Linked DNA regions of Macaca mulatta. The protein of the gene in region 1 interacts with the protein of each later gene in a pairwise test. Links are inferred from orthologs where the notes say so. Each region holds a gene or a part of one and is shown in the gene's direction. Other genes may lie near its edges.

What was found.
Region 2: the proteins of KLRC1 (region 1) and PMP22 interact in binary tests that used the Homo sapiens proteins (3 or more experiments, as listed by UniProt). The two-hybrid records come from large-scale screens. The link is inferred for Macaca mulatta from reciprocal best matches to the Homo sapiens genes KLRC1 and PMP22.
Region 3: the proteins of KLRC1 (region 1) and MAL interact in binary tests that used the Homo sapiens proteins (3 or more experiments, as listed by UniProt). The two-hybrid records come from large-scale screens. The link is inferred for Macaca mulatta from reciprocal best matches to the Homo sapiens genes KLRC1 and MAL.

The regions. Positions count from the first base shown.
Region 1 is NC_133416.1:10,113,638-10,121,109, forward strand, and holds the start of KLRC1 (NKG2-A/NKG2-B type II integral membrane protein), read left to right. Parts: upstream 1-2,530; 5' UTR 2,531-2,774; intron 2,775-3,739; exon of another isoform or gene 3,740-3,847; 5' UTR 3,848-3,919; intron 3,920-5,948; 5' UTR 5,949-5,979; coding exon 5,980-6,166; intron 6,167-6,556; coding exon 6,557-6,652; intron 6,653-7,163; coding exon 7,164-7,217; intron 7,218-7,472. UniProt on the Homo sapiens protein: Immune inhibitory receptor involved in self-nonself discrimination.
Region 2 is NC_133421.1:16,751,042-16,758,382, reverse strand, and holds the start of PMP22 (peripheral myelin protein 22), read left to right. Parts: upstream 1-3,425; 5' UTR 3,426-3,573; intron 3,574-5,249; 5' UTR 5,250-5,283; coding exon 5,284-5,361; intron 5,362-6,850; coding exon 6,851-6,950; intron 6,951-7,341. UniProt on the Homo sapiens protein: Might be involved in growth regulation, and in myelinization in the peripheral nervous system.
Region 3 is NC_133418.1:4,387,570-4,395,166, forward strand, and holds the start of MAL (myelin and lymphocyte protein), read left to right. Parts: upstream 1-3,147; 5' UTR 3,148-3,232; coding exon 3,233-3,325; intron 3,326-7,597. UniProt on the Homo sapiens protein: May be involved in vesicular trafficking from the Golgi apparatus to the cell membrane. Plays a role in the maintenance of the myelin sheath, and in axon-glia and glia-glia interactions.

The DNA.
Region 1 (7,472 bases):
AGAAAATGCTAATACACTATTGGTGGGAATGTAAACTAGACTAACCACTGTGGAAAGCAGTTTGGAGATTTCTCATAATACTTCAAACAGAGCTACGATTTGACCCTCAATTGCACTACTGGGAATATATCCAAATGAAAATAGATCATTATATCAAAAAGATGCACACACACATTTTATCACAGCACTATTCACAACAGCAAAGATATGGAATCAACTTACGTGCTCATCAGTGATTAATTGCATAAAGAAAATGTGGCATATATACTCCATGGACTAGTACACAGCCATAAAAAAGAATAAAACCATGTTCTTTACAGCAACATGGACAGAGCTGGAGGCCATAATCCTAAGCAAATCAATGCAGGAACAGAAAACCAACTACTGAAGGTTCTTACTTATGAGTGGAAACCAAGCACTGAGCACACTTAGACAAAAATATGGGAACGACAGGTACCGCAGACTACTAGAGGGGAGAGGACAGTAGGGAAGAATGGTTCAGAAAACTACCTACTTTGGATTATACTCACTATCCTGGTGTAATATACCCATGTAACAAACCAGCACATGTTCTCCTTGTATCTGAAAATAAAAGTTGAAAGAAAAAAAATTGGAAAAATTCATGTAACAAACCAGCACATGTACTCCCTGTATCTAAAAATAAAAGTTGAAAGAAAAAAAATTGGAAAAATTATCAAGGACAATTGACTGGCCAAAGATTTTTTGAGTAATACGCCACAAGCAGAGGAAACCAAAGCAAAGATGGACAAATGGGATCACGTTAAGCTAAAAAATAAACAAAACCCCCCACAAGATTCTCTTATCTTAGACTTTTGACAATGTGATTATATTGTGCTTCATAATAGTGTTTTTTGGGCTGATCTTGCTTATGATTCATTGAGCTTCATGAATCTGGATTTCCATATCCTTCCCAAGTGAGGAAGGTTTCCAGACAGTATGTCTTTAAAGAAAAAATATTTTTGACCTTTTATCTCTCTCTTCTCCTTCTGAAGTTTCTATACTTTCTATACCATATTCTTGGTGGTGTCTCAAAGGTCTCTTATGCTTTATTTGCCACTTTTTATTCTTTTTTCTTTTTTTACTCTAATTTGTTAATTTTAAATGACTCTTTTTTGAGTTCACTAATTCTTTTGTGTGTTTGAGTCAGGTATTGAAACTCTTTATTGACTTATTTCTTTCTTTCATTGTGTTCTTCAGCTCCAGAATTTTTGTTTGGTTGTTTTTAGTGGCTTATATTTCTTTATTAAATTCTTATTTTGTTCATGTATTTTTGTTTTAGAGTTTTTAGTACTCTCTTCTTTTGCATCTCACTGAGATTTTTAAAGATGATTGTTTTGAATTATCTTAAAGAAAACTTATAGATCTCCATTTATTTGAATCAGTTGCTAAAGCTTTATTCATTTCCTTTGGTGGTGTCATATATGTCTGATGCTTTGTTATTTGTTTATCCTTGTACTGGTGTCTGTGCACTTGAAAGAGCAGACATCTCTTTCAGTCTTTACAGACTGGTTTCGGTAGGTTAAGACCTTCTCCTATTAGGGTCCTGGGCTGATGAGATTGCCTTCAGTGTCATGGTTGAATGGGGTTACAGCCGGATCACATGGTTGCTTATGGGTCCAGAGTGGGATCTTTGGTTCATGATCCTGTTACTAGGGCTTCTAGCAGGCTTGTATCCTCCTTAGTCCCTCAGAGGACCAAACTGGCTCTAGCATCATACTCTATAGGGCTGGGGAGGGAATGAGGGTCCACTTCAGGGTCTGTAGATGGTGGGTCTATTATTAGGTGTGTAGTTGGGGGAGAGTTTATCTAGTTTTCTGGGAAGGCTGCTCATGGGTCTCTGAGTGGGTTCCTCAACCTGTGGCTGAGAGGAGTTAGTGCTAAGTCACAAGGTTTCCTCGGAGTCTATAGCTGAAACCAGTGTCTTCATGTCTGTCTCTGGGGTCATGGATGAGTGTGTTTTCTGGCAGGTATCTGGGCAGGCAAACTTGCTTCAGACTGTAGTTAAGATGGGCTGGAGCTGGATCACAGGATTGTTTCAAGATCTGAAATAAAACTAAGGTCTGTACCTTTAGGGGCACTTATGGTGTCTCTCTCCAGGTCCCTGTGTGGGCAAACTGCTCTCTAGCATAGCTGAGAAGGGTTGAACCCCCTTTTCTGGCCCATTTCAGGATGTGCTGTGAAACCTAGGTCAATGGTCTCCCAGTCGGGACATGGATGCACATGCCCTCCCTCTGTATCCCTGAGCTGGCAAGACTGCTCACAGCCCACAGCTGAGAAGGATGAGGGTCATGATTCAAGGCTGTTTCAGAAACTACCATGGAACTGAAGTCAGCAAGCCTGTACTGCTGCCAAAGATGAGTGAGTCTCACAGCAATTTCCTGTGATTAATTCAGGCCACAGTTGAGAGGAGTTTGAGTGGAGATTCAGGGCCATTTTAATATCTTCTAGAGGACAGAGGTCAGCAAGCATGCCCCAGGGGAACAGATGTGTATGTCTCCCAGGAAGTCTCTGTGGGTGAAAGACTGATCTCAAAAGTTGTGGCTGAGAGTAGCTAAAGCCAAGTTAGAGGGCTGTTTCAGGGTCTACATTGAGACTACAGTTGATATGCCTACCTCCTGAGACACTAGTGTTTGAGTCTCCTCCTGGGCCCCTGGACAGATGGTTTTGGCAGCATGACGAAGTCCTAATGTGGCTGAAGGCAAGTCCACAGGAGGATGGGTCTCTTTTCAGGTCTGGAGATGGAATCACTGTTGGTAAGTCTGCCACTTGGATGCAAATCTATTCTCTAAAGCAACCCTCCTAGGCCTTGGGTTCCACTGGCATTTTACAAACTCCTACTTGAATTCCAAAACTCCCTCAAAGGGAGTTTCCTCCACTTTTGTCTGTGGATGGCTGAAACATTATTGTTGCTGTTGGGGCATATGTGTGGGGGACCACCTATTCTGCCAATTTGCTGACTTTCCTCCTAGTGAGATTTTAAAATTACTTTTTCCCGATACAGAGCTTGCCTTCAGTTTTTGTCATTTACAACTAAATATTTCTATCGAAGTTGAGATAATTTGTTATGGTGGAGAATGGATAAATGAAGAATGTGATGAATAGCTATTTAATATTTCAATCTCTGGTATGCTAATATATTTCAAAATTGATTAATATTTTACCTTTCCAAGATACATTTATTTTCATCAACGGTAATCTGAAGATTAAATAATCTATTTTTTAAAAATTAAATGCAAAAATTTAAGAACTAAGTTAATAACATAACTTTGGCAATGATGGTTTTTGTGTCAGCTACAGTCAACTGAGTAATTACTGCAGTAATTTTTCAGAATAATTAAGGAAAAAATCAGTAGCTATCAGTTGATAATGTTACTATGAGTTTTAGAATGTTTTCTATTATAATGGAGGTGACATAACAAAATAATATAAAGAAAAGAAGTATGCAATGTTAAGATTTAGCAAGCTAGTCTAAAAGGCACTCTTAACAAGGTGAGGATTGGCAATGTTTGTGATCAAAACAGAAAAAAAAATTCTCATAGGCGCTTGAAAAATGGACCAACTAAATGACCCACTTTCAAAGTCAACCTTGTACTTTTAACAGACCAGAGTATCCTATATTTTGGAGGTGTGTGATGAGATTAAACTGATTTCACAATAGCCCATGTGTAGAATTTCCTGTTCAAACCTTAGTAACATGTTGATGAGAAATCTACTTTTTCCACTCTTGACTCACTCTGAGCCTTCACAGGGCAGTCTGCGAAGATTGTAGGCATTGTTTGTTCTTATCCTGGATTTATGCCTTTAAATTTCACCTTTTATTACCCAGCTATAGCAGGCCTTTTTTTGAGACTAACCTGGCCTCTCCACTAAAGGATGTGTGACTTTCTGGGGACAGAAGGTATGTGTTGCTACTCTCCAACTCTCTACTAGCCTACCTCATTTAGTGGGTGATTACAAGTGCTCAATATGGTACAAAGGAGGTATAATTAATATACAGTAAAATCAAAGTAGAATATTGCTGTCTTCATTTGAATAACTCAGGGTAAAAACCATATGAAATATGTTGAAGGATTTCTTAAAGTTTTCAAATTCTTGTTTGTGGAAACCTAGTGGGTTTGTTGATCAATATAATTTAGGTGAAACCTATTAACATCACAATAATGAACAATTAATTTTGTATTTTGTAATCAGTACATCATGTATCTTTGAATAATAATTTATATTTAGCTTAGCCATTAAAAATTATTAAAATAAATGAATCAATTGATGAAAGCCAAATACAGTTCCTCAGACATGTAGATTAAATAAAAGCGTTTTTATTTTTAATAAAAATCACAATGAGGTAGAGTACATAAAATGCTAAAGGTAATACAAAACAATCAAAATACTTTTTTAAAGTTTATCAAAATATTGCAAAAAAAGATGTAGCACACGGATATAGGAGACTTATCTGAAGATTCATTTTCCATTCTTTAACTGACACGAATCAGAAATAGTAACATAACAATTGTGACTAAAATAATAATTAAAATAGCTAATGCTTATTGAGAACTTTAAGTGCCAGGTTGAGTGGTAAATGTTTTACGTGCAACGTTTTATATGTTCTTATTCCCGTCTTAGATTAACAAACTGGGTTATTAAACATAGAATAACTTTTTAAAGGTCACACATTGTAAGTGTCAAAGCTAGAATTCATTCTAGATCTCACTGACTCCAGAGCCCATTGACTAAATGATTTAATTACATTATCTGAAATTTTACAAGTACTTATACAACAAAAGTGGCCTTTACTCACCTTGACAACTGTAAAATCTTTCTATAAGTTTAAATGAAATGTGCTTTAACATGAATTACCTGTACTTTTATTTATCATTTTTTGGTTCATAATTTAGCCAGGAAATAAATTACCAATTACTTATTAAATTACCAATACTTCTATAAGTATTAACAATTTATGTGGTGTTCCTAATACTATTTAGGTTATTCATAAGTTAACAGTGTCACATAGCATTGTCTGACATGTACAAATATTCACATTTGTAATCATTTTTAATAATTTAAATAATTTGTAATAATTTCTTAGAACATTTCAACCATTAAGAAAAGACCATTTAATTACCCCTATTGATTTTTATTAATGTATATAAATTACTAAATAAAAGTAATTTAGTGCAAGAAATTTATATATATGTGTGTGTGTGTATATATCTCAACTTTACTATTACTCATGTGCAGACCACATCGTCTTAACCATTACTGGATTTCAAAATTAACATAAAAAATGAGTGCAGAACTTTTTCTAATACATTTTAATTTTTAATACAGGTAAAGCATCAGACTTTAAGAAATGTATTTTTATTCCTGAACTTCTTTATTCCTTAGTAATTTATTGCTTCTTATTGCCCCAGCAATAATATTTTGTCAAACGTAGAAATTTCTCTCTTTTTTTTTTTTTGAGTCAGAGTCTCACTCTGTCGCCCAGGCTGGAGTGCAGTGGCACGATCTCTGCTCACTGCAACCTCTGCCGCCCGTGTTCTAGCGATTCTCCTGCCTCAGCCTCCTGAGAGTTGGGACTACAGGCGCCTGACATCGTGTCCGGCTAATTTTTGTATTTTTAGTAGAGACGGGGTTTCACCGTGTTAGCCAGGATGGTATGGATCACCTGACCTTGTAATCGGCACGCCTCGGCTTCCCAAAGTACTGGGATTACAGGCATGAGCCACCGCGCCCGACCCAAAAATATATTTTTTAAAACAAATATTTTACCATAAGAAACTTGTTTAGGCTTGAAGAAAATTAGAGAAAGAACTTTAGATTCTTTAATGCAAAATGAGCTCCAATACTCGTTCTCCACCTCACCCTTTTAACTGCACTAGGGAATATTGTATATAAACCATTTATTAACTTCTTAACTACGGTTATTGTAGAGTACAGTCCCTGACATCACACACTGCAGAGATGGATAACCAAGGAGTAATCTACTCAGACTTGAATCTGCCCCCAAACCCAAAGAGGCAGCAGCAAAAACCTAAGGGTAATACAAGCTCCATTTTAGTAACTGAACAGGAAATAACCTATGCGGAATTAAACCTTCAAAAAACTTCGCAGGATTTTCAAGGGAATGACAAAACCAATCACTGCAAAGGTAAAGCATTTAAAAGATCCTCAATATAACAGTCTAGGATGTGCAGCTTGGGGTACAGGGATGTGGGGAAAGAGCAGGGAGTACTCACATGTTTTCTATTTGTAAAGATCAGAATTTCAAGTTGAGATATGCTATTTCAATATAAAATATGAAGACTGATTTAACTCATTGTTGAAATGTGTAGTCTTCGTCAAAGAATTCATGGAGCATTATTTTTACTGAAAATGCAATGGTATATTATTCTGAGAAAAAGATTACAATGGGAGATGAGGGTTTGGGGTCCAAGTTTCTCCGTATGATTCCTGTGCATTCAGGTTCTTTTGTTTTTGAATCTTCTAAATAACTATGTCCACCTCTCCTTTCGCACTGTTCCCATTTCGCTCCCTGCAGATTTACTCTCAGCTCCAGAGAAGCTCATTGCTGGGATACTGGGAATCATCTGTCTTGTCTTAATGGCCTCTGTGGTAACAATAGTTGTTATTCCCTGTAAGTCTATTTTAGAAGATTACAAGGGGAATTTTCACGTTAATGATTGAATGTGCCTCTATACATTTCATATTTTCAGGGAATAGAATTCTCATTGTAATGTATATCTTTGGACTGAATGTGGAATGGTCATTCAGAATTTGTCAAAGAATAAATGAAAGAATAATTGTTGAAAGTATTTGCTTCCGATGCAATTGCATGTATATATTTTGATTTCATAACTCAAAAATATGTTTGAGGAGTCTGAAAAACCTTACTGAGAAATAGAAATTAATTTTTGAAAGTAGTTAAATCAAGAATTATAAGAACCATATGAGAGGGTGAAATTTGGTTCTTTAGATCTATGAAATACTTTTCCAAAAAACCATTATTACTTTATCAAATTTTTCTTAAAATTATTTTTATTCCATATTATTCTAACTCTAACACAAAAAATTTCAAACAAAAACTTAAAATTATTATGATTGATTTAGATGCTAATTTTTAAAAAAGATTACTTTAATTTTTCTAGCTACATTAACACAGAAGCACAACAATTCTTCCCTGAATACAAGAACTCAGAAAGGTATATAATAATTTTTAAAGTTTTAATATTGTACAGTTTACTTTTTCTTGATCTTAGGCTGTACAAAAATAAAATTTGGGGTGAAAAATTATAAAATTTGGCAATAAATGTTCATAAATAAAGATTAGAGTAAGGCATTCCCTTGTCATCAACTGTAAGTAAAATCACTATACTTTGTTTTTATCTATTGTGTTCAAATTCTTATTGCTATAAGATACAAGTTATTTATTGCTCCTTAAAAATCAGATTAGTTCA
Region 2 (7,341 bases), on another chromosome or scaffold:
ACAGGTTAGAAAGCTTTCAGTAGAGGTTCGTTTACTTACACTGAATTATCTCATGAAGGTCAGCTTGATGAGGGCACATTAAAGACAGAGGCGGAAGAACCCATTTCCCTAAGTTTTATTCTAATGTACAACACATGTGATCATTTGCGATGGGGTCTAGGCAGACAGAGCAGGCAACAGAGAGTCTTTCCAACCAGGGATTGGAGCAAAGCAGGCTTGATTTGGTGACTCCTGAGACATTTGGCTCACTGCTGTGATGCTGTGAGAGATTAGCTGTGCAATGTTTGGGCCCCTTAAAATGATGTTTATTTAAAATAAAACTTACCTGCACATACGTAACACTGTAGACACAGATCCTTCACACAGTATATTTAATCTCTGCAAAATTCACTGGGAGGGGAGGGGAGCCAGTGGGGCCTCTTGGGTATTACACAGGTTGGCACTTCCAGAGAGAACAGCCTTGGCATCACAGACTTCAGGCATACTCAAAGCTCTTCTCCCTTCTGATTCCAGTTTCTCCATGCCCTGCAGGGCCTCTTGGGATCACTGTATTCTGGAAAGCACACAAAGTTGGACACTGTCTCTTTAAATAATAGAGGCTGAGAACCTCTCAGGCCACCATGACATATCCCAGCATTGGACCAGCCCCTGAATAAACTGGAAAGACGCCTGGTCTGGCTTCAGTTACAGGGAGCACCACCAGGGAACATCTCAGGGAGCCTGGTTGGAAGCTGCAGGCTTAGTCTGTCGACTGCGGGTCTCTGGCTGTCCTGTGGGGAGGGCCTTGCCTTAGCATCCCTTGCATTTGACTGCAAAGAAATCCGCTTGGAAGAAGGGGTTACGCTGTTTGGCTGGGTGAGTTTTATTGGCAACCTGTGCCTCTGGGTGATGCATGCCTATGCTTTACAAGAATTGCCTAATTCCCCACCCCCTGCAAGCTGCAAATGAAAAGGATTGCAGGAGAGATGGTGCATTTGTGTTGGAATTGACTGGACATTCAGGGGTTTTTTTATATCCTTGGTTAAGAGGTGGATATACACTCTGGCTGGGGAGGTGGGGGGCCATCTGAGAGCATCTAGAAACCCTAATGCATCCAGATTGAAAGGAAGAAAGGAATCTAGATGCTTCTTCCCCCATGGAAAATAGCTGTTCACACACACCCGGCAGGCGGCCTTGGTAAGCAGGTTAGGGAGAAGCTGCCACCTGTGGCAGAGCCTTGACCAGCCAGGCTCTGGGTGTGGCAAGCCTGGTCAGCAGGCACTGAGTAGCATTTCCTCTCCCACCATTGAGAGCCAGGCAGGAGACCAGAGGCAGTGAGGGACAGATGGGTTGGGTTTACCTGTCTGGCAGCGTATGGTGTTGCTGTGACCTGGGTGGTTATTGATTAAACTATTGGGTTCAAAAGAAAGGAAGAAGCGACCTGTAACACCCAATATGTACACTTTTTTTGTATGTGTATTAGACTTTATTAAAAAGTTTATTTGAAAATCACAAAGGAAGGGAAGGAAAATCCTGAGTTAGATTTGCTAATATTTGTAAAGTGCTTACTTAGAACTGTCCTGAGTACGTAGTAATCACAAAAATGTTGGTTAAATAAATAAATGTCCAAACAGCATAAAACAAAGTAATAATTTCTAGAGCAAATCTAACCTATAAAATGACCCATGGAGGAAAGAAAACACTTCCAGGTCTTTAGACATTTTTTTTCTACTTGCCTATGCACTTTCATTTATAAATATCTATCAATCTATCGATCTACCTGTCTATCGATCGATCGATCGACCTACGAATCAGAGTTACAAGCTACTTTCATGCAGAGGTGGTCAGGTCTTCCCTGAAGAGTTGATGTGAGAGTTAAATGTGATATAACAATAGTGGTGGCAATTTGGGCACTGGGCCCTTATTATGTTGCAGACACGATGTTAACTGCTTTGTACATATTGTCTCCTTCAATCATCACCATAAACCTTTAAAGCAGGCATTACTAGTTCCTTTTGCATCTGAGAAAACTGAAGCTCACTGAACTTCAGAAATTGTCCAAACTCACAACAAAAGTAAGCAAGGTGATTAGGTTTGTTGGAGCCCAGAGACAGAATGCCTAACCACTGCCTCTCACAGACCATGCATACAAAAGTCCAGACAAAGTGCCTGGCGTGTAATGGGAACTGTAAATACAATTTACAAGTACACTTCATTTTAATCTGATAACATGAGAGTTTTAAAAAGATCACCGTTTGAAGACTTTTTCAAATTTATTTTTACTTACAGTAAGAATATACAATTAGCTAAAGTAGCAGCTCCTTTCAAATTGTAAATTAATATAGAATTATTTGAATCATTGAGAGGGATGAGCTTCTATGACACAGTACACTAGAGGTAGGGAAGTGTGTGTGTGTGTGTGTGTGTGCGCGCGCGCGCGCGCGTGTGAACTGCTGCATTTTCAGGCAAAGACCTTTAACATCCACATTCCTGCTCCCCGTCTTGTGCATCAAGGCTGGCCTGCGCACGGGAGTCTCATTGGGCGCGCCTCTGCCAAGCGGAGACTGAAGGGCTAGCCTCTCTCCCTGTAACGCTGGGCGGGTCACGTTAGGAGGCTATGAATCAGCTGATTTCCTTGGCTGCTCCAACCCCACCTCAAATGGCCACCTCGCACCCGCCCCCTAAACCCCATGGCCAGGACGCCAGCCAAGGCTGACAGCCAAGCCCGACTGCTGCAGGAACACTTTGCCTGAGCTTATTCGGTGGTAGTCTGGTTTTGCCCAGGCTAGGAGGAGCCCAATCCCAGACCACGCTATCCGGTAGTCGCCGGACTTTTCTTTCCCTAATTCGCACTCAAGCAGAGCCCGCTAGATCAATCCCTGCCAATCCTAGGAAGCCGGCATGCTTGGTAGGTGCAGACAGTAATAGCGGGGACCGACGAGGTGCAGGTGTGCCCGGCTAAGACGCCAGGACAGGGCAGGGGCTCCAGGACCCGAGAAGAGAGGGACTTCCTTCAGCGCTCAAGCGCCCGCTGCCCTCTGTTAATGGGAGTGGAATCCAACCTCAGCCCCGCGCGGGCGCGGTCGGCGTCGGCGCGCCCCGAAGCCCATCCTTGGGCATCCGCGGAGCTACATTTGGCTGAGTCTTCCCAGGGTGGGCTGAGGAGCCAGTTTCTCGGTCAACACTAGGTTTCCATGATCTCCACGGGGCCGGGGGAGGAGGGAGGTGGGAGGTGAGAAAGCTCGGCCGCCTCTGGTTTCGAGTAAAAGTCGCCGCGATTTTGCAGAGACCAACTTTTCCCTGAGGCGCATTTAAGGCCAAGTTAACTGTCTCCTGCCCTCCCTCTCTCCTGCCCTCTCTCCTCCCTGAGTCCCGCCCTCCCGCACACGCTGACCCAGGGACACACCCTACTGCAGCGACGCAAACAGGGCGTTGTTCCCGTTAAAGGGGAACGCCGGGAGCCTCCCACTGCCCCCTTGCTTCGCGCGCGCGCAGCCCCGCAGCGCAGCTTTGACCGCGCCGGCAGCGGAGCCAACGCACCCGAGTTTGTACTTGAGGCCACCCTGAGGATCGGGACAGCTGTTCCTTTGGGCTGTAAGTGATTTGGTGGGGACAGTGAAGGAGATGGAGGAGAAATGTGGGCATCTTCCAGTGAGGGTGTCAGAAGGCGCAGAGCAGGCGCGGGGCTTTGGCCAGCTCCCTGGAGCTTCTGTTTAGGGGCACAGGGTCCCTTGTGTGTCCTGTTCCCTTCCAATGGGGCTTGGCGTAATACAACGAGGGGAGCCTTTATGGTCTGTAAGACCTTACAGGGCAAGGGTGATGGTGCTGGTGTCTGGATAGAGGATAAGGGCGTCTCAGTTTTCGCCTTGCTGAAGAGGCGTTGACTCCGGGACACAGTGGCAAAACAGCCCCTGTGGCGGACATCCCGAGAGTGCTGGACTCTTGTGGCTCCCCAGTTCCCAGCCTCATGCCATCTGAGGTTTAATTCAAACCCTCTGGGAGTCATCAGAAATCCTTGTTTATTTCTTCCAGCGCATTCCAGTGTCTTTGAATGTGATGCTTGTGGAGAGAAACGGAGGGGCCTGAGATTGGGTACTTTCCAAACTGGGTTATTGAAACGTTGTTTCCCTGGCCCAAGACTCTGCCTGAAATGGTCCCCAGAGTCTCAGTCAGATCTTCCACAGCCATGCATGTCCTCTAACAAGTCATCCCAGCCTTCACTGCCCCCAAAGTCTAAAATGAGGGGCGAGGACCGCATTACTTGGGATAGATGGCCTGCCAGCTCTGACCGGCTGAAATTATCGGACTCGGCCTTTTACTCTGTCTCTCTCTCCCATCCGCTGGACATCTACTCCCTTCGGTCCAGGCTCCTGGGCTCCTGTCCCACCGCGCCCAGACCGGAGCTCAGTCTTGATGGGGTCCGTGTCCTGGCTTTGAGTGCCTGGGGTGCAGACTGGACCCCTAGGCGAGCATGCGGGTCTAGCGCAGGAGCAGAATGCCCCCTGCCCCCAGGAGTCTCAGTTGGGCGCGCCTGGGGAAGCGCGCGGTGGACGGGAAGCGCAGGGTCCGGGCAACCCTCCCGAGCCATTTTTCCTTTCCACACTCCTCTGGCTCTGCACCGCCTCTCCGGAGCCGCCAGAGTCTGCGCGAGGCTGAGCTGGGGCCAGGACGGTTCCTCTACGCTGGCAGAATTGGGTGGAAACTTGGAGACGAACGGAATGCGGAGAGCACTGGGGTCTGGGAAACCAGCCTCCTCGCTGCTCTCTCTCCCAGCGCATGTCACGGGTATCTCCAGGTCTATCACGGAAATCTGGGCGCCTACTCCCCTCACCCCTACCTCCACCCCGTAGGCGAATTCACAATCTGAACTGGGGTCTCGGAGAACGGGACCTCTCCCCTTACAGGGCGGTCTCCGGGAGGCGCTCGGGGTGGGTGGAAGCGTGCAGTGGCCTCTGGTCATATTTTCTGGAAACCCCTCTATTCCCTGGGTGTTTTTAGACGTGCGAACCGCTTGTTTTGTTTCTAAAAGCAAAGATGTTCCGTTGCAGGCGGGTCCGGCTGGGCGCTGGACGCTGGGCGCTGGTCCTGCAGGAGGCTGCTGCCCCCTCTCGGCGGCAGGCGGCGCGAAGGCTCCTGACCCGCGCGGGCGGGCGGGCTGCGGGCGCTGGGCCAGGCCGGGCCTCACGCTAGTGCGCGGGACCCTCCCTCTGCGCGCGCCTCCCTCGTTCGGCCCAGTGCGTTCGGCCTCACGCCCAGCGCTCTCCCCACAGGCAGAAACTCCGCTGAGCAGAACTTGCCGCCAGAATGCTCCTCCTGTTGCTGGGTATCATCGTCCTCCACGTCGCGGTGCTGGTGCTGCTGTTCGTCTCCACGATCGTCAGCGTGAGTGCCTGGCTGGGAGGCTCCCTGCGCGGCCCGCTCTTCCCTATCTGGGTTCCCAGCCCTTGCTCCTTCTGGTTCAGGACTGTGTTATTTGCAGACAGTTGGAAGTCTCAGACGTCCCAGGGAAGTTTCTGGCAATCTGCCCCCTTCCAGTTGCTTTGAGAAAACGAGAGCAGATTCAGTGATAGAAACGAAGCGAGCGCTGGGCTGGGTTAGGTGCGCAGGTCTCTATTTAAGCCAAATAACTTCACAGCAGATCTAGGGGCCCCGACCTTCATTTGATAAGATTGTTTAACTTTTTTTTTTTCTTGATGCAGCCTCATTGAAGAAGAGGGGTATTTATGGATTTTTTTTTAATCCAAACCGTAGTCAGATGGGTGAATTAATTTATAAAACACCCTTTTAGGACTTGAAATTGGAAAGTTAAAATGGGCTTTTCTGGAAAAGAGTTCACTGGTCCCATGTCGCCTTTACGTCATGAACACAACGCCTTGTTAGTAAAGCTTCCACTGATAGAAACAGGCCATCAGAGTAACTTATGTTACAAAACTGTCCAACCCATGAGATCTTAAAGTTATTTTCTTGGCGATGAAGATGAGCAGACATTCAGGCAGTTTTCCTATGGTGGCTTTCACTTCTTAATTTAAGGCACATTGTAAGCCTGATTTTCTTTTTCTTTTTCTTTTTAATTTTTCTTTTCTTTTTTTTTTTTCTTTTTTTTTTTTTTTTGAGACGGAGTCTCGCACTGTCGCCCAGGCTGGAGTGCAATGGCGTGATCTCAGCTCAGTGCAACCTCTGCCTTCCGGGTTCAAGCGATTCTCCTGCCTCAGCCTCCCGAGTAGCTGGGATTACAGGTGCCTGCCACCACACCTGGCTCATTTTTATTTTTATTATTTTATTTTTAGTAGAGACGGGGTTTCACTATGTTGGCCAGGCTGGTCTCGAACTCCTGACCTCATGATCCGCCCGCCTCCGCCTCCCAAAGTGCTGGGATTACAGGCGTGAGCCACTGTGCCCGGCCTGTCAGCATGATTTTGTAGTCTCTGTGAGAGATAATTATGTTGGGGATTTGTGACTTGGTTTAACATTTACAAGCATCTTCACAGTATCTCCATGGTGCCTGGTGATGATAACATCAGATTGATAGGAGCTGTATACAAGGAACTAGACTCAGAGAGAGGGGCTTGGGGAATGATCCCCAGGGATGCTGGGAGGAGAGAAGGCTTGAATGCAGGTGTCTCAGGTTGAGTTCATGGCTCCTTCTACTATAGTAAACATCTCTGCACATAATCGTTTCCGTGTGCATGGAGAACTTTTCCATTTACAACGTGCTTTTAAGTCATAAAACGTTGGCTGTTACCATGCAGGGGTGGGCGGGGTAGCTAGGTGCATCAGGGTGCTTTTCGCCATCCCTGGGCCTTTCTCCTTCCCCTTTTCCTTCACTCCTCACTCCCTCCCTGACTCAGGATATCTATCTGATTCTCTCTAGCAATGGATCGTGGGGAATGGACATGCAACTGATCTCTGGCAGAACTGTAGCACCTCTTCCTCAGGAAATGTCCACCACTGTTTCTCATCATCACCAAACGGTGAGGCTGGTTTTGTGCTCCACGAGCTTGTCCTCGGATGCCTGTAACACATTTCTCAGTCCAGAGCTGGAAACGCTTATTGGAAGACACAAGCCAGAATGCTGTTGCTGGAGTGGGTTGGGATGTGACGGGAAGCCATGAGTCCAAGGCAAATGGGAGGGGTGGTGATCTCACTGGGGAAGCTGAGATCCTGGGCATGATTATGGTTCACTCTATCTAGAGACATGCCCTTAGCGCCCTCCTGATCACTTAGGATAATGCTTTTTGTGATTTAAAAAAAAAATGTCGACATGGGAGCTGTAAAGGTGGTATGATAGCTAAGCCTTAGGCAGACCCCCTTGGGACATTGGATCAAACGTGTATCTTTGGTTTGGTGGCTGTGCCTATTCAG
Region 3 (7,597 bases), on another chromosome or scaffold:
AAAATCCCTAGGGATAAGTGTGGGTTCAGGGTAGCTCTCTGAACTCATGTCTGCACCCAGCCTCGGCATCCATAAATGGGGATGACGACCCCCACTACCTTCTGTTCCCAGAGGTGAAGGTCCCAAGCCCTGTCCACCAGGGCAGGTGCCCAGGGCCACGCCTGAGATGACCATGAAGACTGGATTTGGGAGGCTGCCGATGTCTGCATGGAACTGGCATTTGAATGGCAATTGCTAATCTTGAGCAGGGTTTTCATCGAGGGTTCGAAGCTTTAGAGGTGCAGTGTCACTCAGGTTCAAGGTGCTCAGCAGTTCTGTGTCCTTGGGCAGCTACTTAACACTTCTGAGCCTCTGTTACCTCATCAGTAAAATGGGAGTCATCTTACCTACCTCAAAAACCAATGCACCTGCTATTATGAATGGGCAACTCCTGCCCCATTAATCTTTCCCTAAACACATCCCTCTCCCCACAATCTCCTCCCTCCCCCTGAACACACACAAGCTGGAGGTAACCTCTTCCTTCCCCAGGCTGGCTCTGCAATGGCAACTTTCCAATTCCTACTTTGTGGAAACCCGCCCAAGGCCAAGTTAATATTTGACAGAAGCCCCAGATCCACCCTCTTATTCACACCCACTGGGAAGACTGAGGACACTCACTGAGTTACTACTGGCTGAAGTTATTTTTTCATATCCTGCTGGAAACCAAAATATGGTCCTGGGCTTCTGATAAGTATCAACCACCACATTGATCAGCAGGTGGCCCAGAGCACGTGGGGAAGCTGTGCTGGGAAATGAAGACAGGCCCATCTTTACTCACCAATGCCTCTCTCTTACCAATGTCTCTCTCTCTCTCTCTCTCTCTCTCTCTCTCTCTCTCTCTCTCTCTCACCAATGCCTTTCGTTCATCAGCAGGTGACCTAGAGCACCTGGGGAAGCCTACCAATGCCTCTCTCTCACCAATGCCTCTCTCTCACCAATGCCTCTCTCTTACCAATGCCTCTCTATTACCAGTGCCTCACTCCTTACCAGTGCTTCTTACATCCAAACAGGGCACTTACATGTCCTCCTCTGGTGGTCAAGCACAGACAAGGCTGGAGCCATCCAGCATCGAGCACTCACCAGAGGTTGGGTTCGGCTTGGGGCTGAGGATATGCTAGGGTGGGGAAGGAGAGAGGCAGATGGGGGTGGTTGGAGGACGCCCTGCGGAGGGTAGAGTCTAGTCATGAAGATGAACATCAGGCGGAGAACTCCAGTGGAAGGAAGGAGTCACAGAGATAGGGACAAACTCGCTTGACCCTGGCCGGGCTGCCCTCCTCATCCTCTGAAGCCTCTTTCAGAGATTGCCGCCCCTCTGCCTTATCAAAGGAGGGCTGGGACTGCTGAGCTCGACTGAGCTGCCCCTGGAGTGAGCTTTCCCCAAAGGCTCAGGCCCAAGTGGGAAGAGTTAGCAACAGAGGCGTGAAAGAAGTAGCAAAATACCAAACCAAACTACAGACAAAACCCCTCCAGACCAGGCAAGGACATTATTAGGAGTTGATAGGATCTTCTTGTTTTTAATTAGTGTGTGCTGATGGGAAATTTCCAAGCTGCTTTCGCTGGACTGCCCGAGGGTCATCTCACCCCCCACTGCAGGCTGCGGCTTCCTGTAGCCACCTTGCTTTAAGGCTTGTTCCCAGGACGGTCTCCTGGGGAGGAAGAAGATGTCCTCTCAGAGGCCAGCAGGTCCAACTAGCGAGCTATGAGATGCCCACGGTGGGTGAGGACCTGGGCTTCTGAAGTCCCACAGCCCATTGTGCCCAGAGAGATGCTGCCCTGGGGACCCGACACAGTGAACTTGGTTGCAGCCATCCGAGCTAGCAGCTCTCTCAGAGGCACAGCGGGGTTTTCTCATTTCAAATGCCTGGCCCCTTTCCAGAGGCGCTTTAGAATGGCCAGCTGATGGGAGCGCTACTTTTCTTTGGAAAATGCGTCCACGAATGTACTTCTCTCCCTAGGGACTGGGAAGGAGGAAGAATTGTGCAGCAGGGAGAGATGAGGGCCCCACTGGAGAGAGGGGAGCCCCTTGTCCTGCCTGCAGCAGCTGCCAGTGAAAAGAAAGAAGGGTTGGGAGTCTGAGCTGGAGGCTGCGGGGACAATTCCCTCTTGGCAGGAGAGAATCCGGACGGGGGCGGATTTCAGGCTTCAGTGTTTGTAGGAGGAAACACAGCAATCCACTATTAATAGTAAATTAAAATAAATAGGCAACTGCTGTATAGTAATACTTGTTTTTTTTTTTTTTTTTTTTTTTTTTAAGGCAAAAAGTAATAGATAGTGAAACAGAGAAACAAAACAGGAAACACTGGCAGTCAACAGGCAGCAAAGAACATGCGGGTGGAGGTAGCAGCGGTCCCACCCTCCAAAGGCCCGGGCTGCCCAGACCAAGAGAAAGAGATGAATCTCTTCTGGTAACGTCCCTTCCTGTCCCATGGAACCAAGGCAGACCTGCCCCAGCACCACCACCAGCAGCCTTCTGCTGGGGCCGGCACAGCTGGGAGCAACCTTCTTCCCTCAGGCAGGCGCGCAGCGCCAAGTACAGAGGCCCCGGTGCACGTTCCCAGCGCCGAACCAGCGCCGGCTCGGGGTACGCGGAACGGGCCGGCGGCCGGGGCTGGTCCCAGCCCCCACTGCAGACCCCCAGGCTGTGGCGGCGGTCCCGTTCCGCCAGGAAACCGCCGCCTGGAGCTGTGGGTCGCGCACATTAACGCATCCAGCGGCAAAATGAAGGAGACCCAAATTCAAAGTTAGAGCAATGGTGACCCGAGGGGTGCCTTGGTGGGTTTGGGGTCCCGGTTACTGATGGTTAACATTCTTAGGAGATACTGGTCACCTACGAAGCGAGAAAGGCATGAGGAGCCCCTGACCAAAGTGGTTTTGCCCTGCTTCCCACAAGAGGTGCCACCCACGGCTGGAACGCAGGAGTCAGGTCCACCGTCCCCAGCTCTGCACGCCCGCAGCGGGCCCTCGAGGAGGTTCAGGGCGGTGCCCGCGGCGCTCGGGCCGGGTCTGCCGGGGCGTGGGGCTGGGGGCGGAGCTGGGCGGCGGCCTGGGCTCCTCCCTCCTCTGCTCGGGCTCCCCTGCTCTTAACCCGCGCGCGGGGGCGCCCAGGCCACTGGGCTCCGCGGAGCAAGCGAGAGGTCTGCGCGCAGTCTGAGCGGCGCGCGTCCAGTCCCGAGGCCCACGCCAGCACGCCCTCATGGCCCCCGCAGCGGCGTCGGGGGGCAGCACCCTGCCCAGTGGCTTCTCGGTCTTCACCACCTTCCCCGACTTGCTCTTCATCTTTGAGTTTGTGAGTGACTCCTGGCCAGGGAAGGGACTGGGGGATGCTGAGCCGTGCGCTCTCTCGGGCGCCCAGCACAGCTCTCGGACTGGATCCGCTAGCTCCGCAGGTCCCGGGAGCATCGGGGCAGCAGGGACAGGGCGGGGACTAAGCCAGGGAAGCCCCCTCCCACCTCCGGTCGTTTGTCCCCTTCTAGACCAACGGAATGAGGGAAACAGTCTACAGGACTATGGAGGAAAAACCGGGTTCCCAACCGGGGTCGGATGTTGGCAGCGGGTCAGGCGGGGACGGCTCTTGGTGCGCTGGTCCCAGAGCTGCGCTCGGGGCCCTCCAGATGCGCCCGGCGCCGCCGAAGCTCACGCCGCGCTTTGCGCGGTTGGGTAGAAGTGCGCAGCGTTTTGAAGGGAGATAGTGTCGGAAAAAAAAAAAATCAGCAAAAGAAACGTTAGTGTTACCAACCGAGATCTGGAGATGAGAGGGAGTTGAATCCGGTTTATTTTCTTCTGGCCTTTTACAGTTTCTGGCGAGGGGACGTATTTGCGACCAATTCGATCTGGAAATGAGGTCCTAGTTTGCGCGGCCGCAGTCCTTCTGCCCCGTGTGTGGGGTGGGAGTGGAGGAGACGGGGGTTGGGGGGCCGGCGAGAGCGATCCGCGTGCCCTGGCTGACCTTGGGCAGCTCCGGGGCCTCTGCACCTGCGGTCGGTCCCGCCTTGCGCGCACGGTCTCTGCCTGAGGCTGCGGGAAAGCGCTTCCTACTGAGAACTCCTGATAAACGCTCAAGGCGTCGCGAGGCCGAAGTGACCTCCCTCAGCCTCAACTCCCCGGGGCCCGCTGGCCCTCACCTGGGAGGGGTGTGCCCTGTATATTCTGTGGGTGCGGTCCGTCGCCGCCTCAGGGACACCTTTTCCGGCACCCCACCCTCAGAAGCACAGGCGTGGAGAGTTGGAGGGGAAAGAAAATGTCGGAGCCTGGCTGTTTAAAAATTGGACCCCAGGTTGTTATTGCCTGATTGGAGGGGGAGGGTCAGTTCGTCCAAGGAGGGCTTGGGGGCAGAGGCTAGGCAGGGGCCGCTGCGGCGGCCTGGGAGCAGGACTATCATTGAACTTGGGGTGAAAGTCGAGTCGAACCCCAACCTGGGTGGAACCGGTGACTTTAAATCCTAGGGATAGGCGGAATCAAAGCAGTTACATTTAGAGGAAACCCGGGAAGCCAATGAACGCAGCCCCACCATTCACAGAGAGCCAGCCCCTCGCTGGTCTTCAACATACAAGAGGGAGTGCCCCTGAGAGTAGGAACAGTCCAGTGAGACGGGGCGATCTCATCTGCGGGAAAGGTGACCGGAGGCTCCCACCCAACCCACCAATGCTGCAGAGACTACAGGGGTGTGGGAAACCTTGGAACCGTCTACTACTGGCAGCTTGCTCCGACAGCGCCAGCGTGGCTCTGTGGCCTGCCCATACGGGGCTTCCAGAACAAACAACTCCCCCTCGCCCAGAACGCTTCTCTCAGCTGACTTAGAAAGTCACTTCTCCACCTCACCCCTGTTCCCCACCTCCCTTCCTCACTTCCCAGGAGACCCGCAACGCACAGTCACCTCCAGGCGTCTTCCTCATGCTCTAGATTAGGGGTGGGCTAGCAGGTGCCTGGGAGAGAAGAGGAGAAAGCTGGCCCCAAGCCTCTCTGTTCTCCTCTGTGTGGACTGTAAATATGAAGCTGTATATATTTGATGTGTGGAAGGAATGCGGAATTAAACGGCCTGAGAAGGCGCTGGCCACCCCGGGGGAGGTATTTTTTTAAATTATGGAATATTACAACTCAACAAAAAGACAACCCAATTAGAAAATGAGCAACGGACTTGAACAGAGGTTTCTACAAAGAAGATATACAAATGGCCAATATGGACATAAAAAGATGCTTAACATCATCAGGCATTAGGAAAACAAAATTGAAACCACAATGAGGCCAGGTGCGGTGGCTCACGCCTGTAATCCCAGCACTTTGGGAGGCTGAGGTGGGTGGATCGCCTGAGGTCAGGAGTTCGAGACCAGACTGACCGATGTCTCTACTAAAAATAAAAAAATTTTTTTTAAAAACTTAGCCAGGCGTGGTGGCTCATGCCTGTAGTCCCAGCTACTCAGCAGGCTGAGGCATGAGCATCGCTTGAACCTGGGAGGCAGAGGTTGCAATAAGATCACGCTGCTGCACTCCAGCCTGGGCAACAGAGTGAGACTTGGTCTTAAAAAATACATAAATAAGTAAATAAATTAAATAAATAAATAGAAAGAAAGAAATCACAATGAGATACCACTTCACACCCATTAGGCTGGCTAGCATCCAAAAAATGGAAAACGTCAAGTATTGGGTGTGGAGAAATTAGAACCCTTGTATGTCGCTGGTGGGAATGTGAATGGTTCAGTCACTGTGGAAAACAGTTTGGTGTTCCCTCAGAAAATGACCCTCTGACCCAGCAATTCCACTCCTGGGTATATAACCAAAGGATTCAAAGCAGGGACTTTAGTATTGGCACATCCATGTTCATAGCAGCACTCTTCACAATAACACACAGCCCAGTGGCCATCAGCAATGAACTAAATAACAAAGTGCGACACACCCAAACGATGGATACGACCTGGCCATAGCAAGGAACGAAGTACTGATACGTGCTACAAAGTTGATAAACCTTGAAAACTCTATGCTAAGCAAAAGATACCAGGCACAAAAGGTCATATAGTGTATGATTCCATTTATATAAAATATCTGGAATAGATAAATCTGTAGAGACAGAACACAAACCCTGGTGGTTAACCAGGCACCGAGGGGAGCAATTGTTTAATGGCTATGGGGTTTCCTTTTGGGGGGTAATGCAAATGCTTTGGAATTAGATTGAGTTGGTGGGTGCACAATACCATGAATGCACTAAATGCCACTGAACTGTCAACTTAAAATGATTGGTTTGATGATATGTTAATTTCGCTCAAGTTTAAAAAACAAAAATAGAAATATTTCAAATATCACAGAATATATATAATACTTTAACAGACACCTATATAATTATTGCCCAACTTTGTCAAATCTTAATATTTTGCCTTGTTTGCTTTTATGTATTAAGGAAATGAAGCTTTCAGATGGCATCTAAGCCCCCTAGACATCCTTCTGTTATCTTATTCTCTCTCTCCCTCCATCCTCAAGGCCACCTGTAAGCTGAATGTGGTGTTCACTTCCAAGCACAGTCTAGACTTTCACTGCACACATATGACCTACACATGGCATTGTTTTACGTTTTCACACTTTATGAAAATGCCAGCGTACCGTACATATCCTTCTGCAACATGCTTTCCAGGCAACATTATGTTCTGAGATTTATACATGTTGACTTTGTTTATCCAGTCTTCTGTTAATAGACACTTGGGATAGTTCCAATTTGCTGCCTTTAGCTACTGCAGACAGCATTGCCAAGAACATTCTCATATTTGCCTCTGTAGTTACCTGTTGGAAATTTCTCCCATAAACACGTGGAGGATGTGACTTGTTGGGTCACAGGGGATATGCACATTGTCATTTTCCCAGATGTTACCACATTGCCATCCAAAAGAGTAATTCCAATTTACACACCCCAGGAGCAGATTTACTGGGAAGCCGATGATGTTTAACTAAGTTCAAGACCCCTCCTTACTCATGCCCCTTCCAAGACTCTGCCTAATTTTGTATTCTTTTATAAAGATAGTCCCCCCAATTGTTTAAGCTTCAGGCTAAACCTGGACCTTCCCCGGCCCCCACCAGCAGCACATGAAAGTCGCCATTGTTCCTCATCACTTGGTAGCGTCAGACTTTATAATTTTCTGCTAATCCGATGGGTGTGAAATGCTTGATTATTTTTTAAATCTGTAGTCCACTGAGTTGTTGATGACTCATAGTTCAGATTCCCATGCCTGACCTCCCAACAGCCTGGGAGGCGCAGATGTCCAAGGCGATCAGGGTGGAGCACCACTTCCATGGTGAGGGGACTGCCCACTGGAGCAAGTGAGGGTGGCAGCTCAGGGTGGGGCATAGCCATCTCTCCTTGGCTCTGCAGCCCTATCCCAGACCTCCTGACCTCTGAAATCTGCAGAGTCCTCACAGGAAGAGGAAGGCAGGCCCAACTAGGAAGTGAGACTGCCTTTCCAAATACCTCCAAAGTCACAGAGGCTGTGCCCCTATTGCAGGTGGTGGGTCATCAGCGCAGCCCTGTATAGGCCACGGGTGAAATGGCCAGTGTTCTCTCCTCCTCCAACAAAACCCA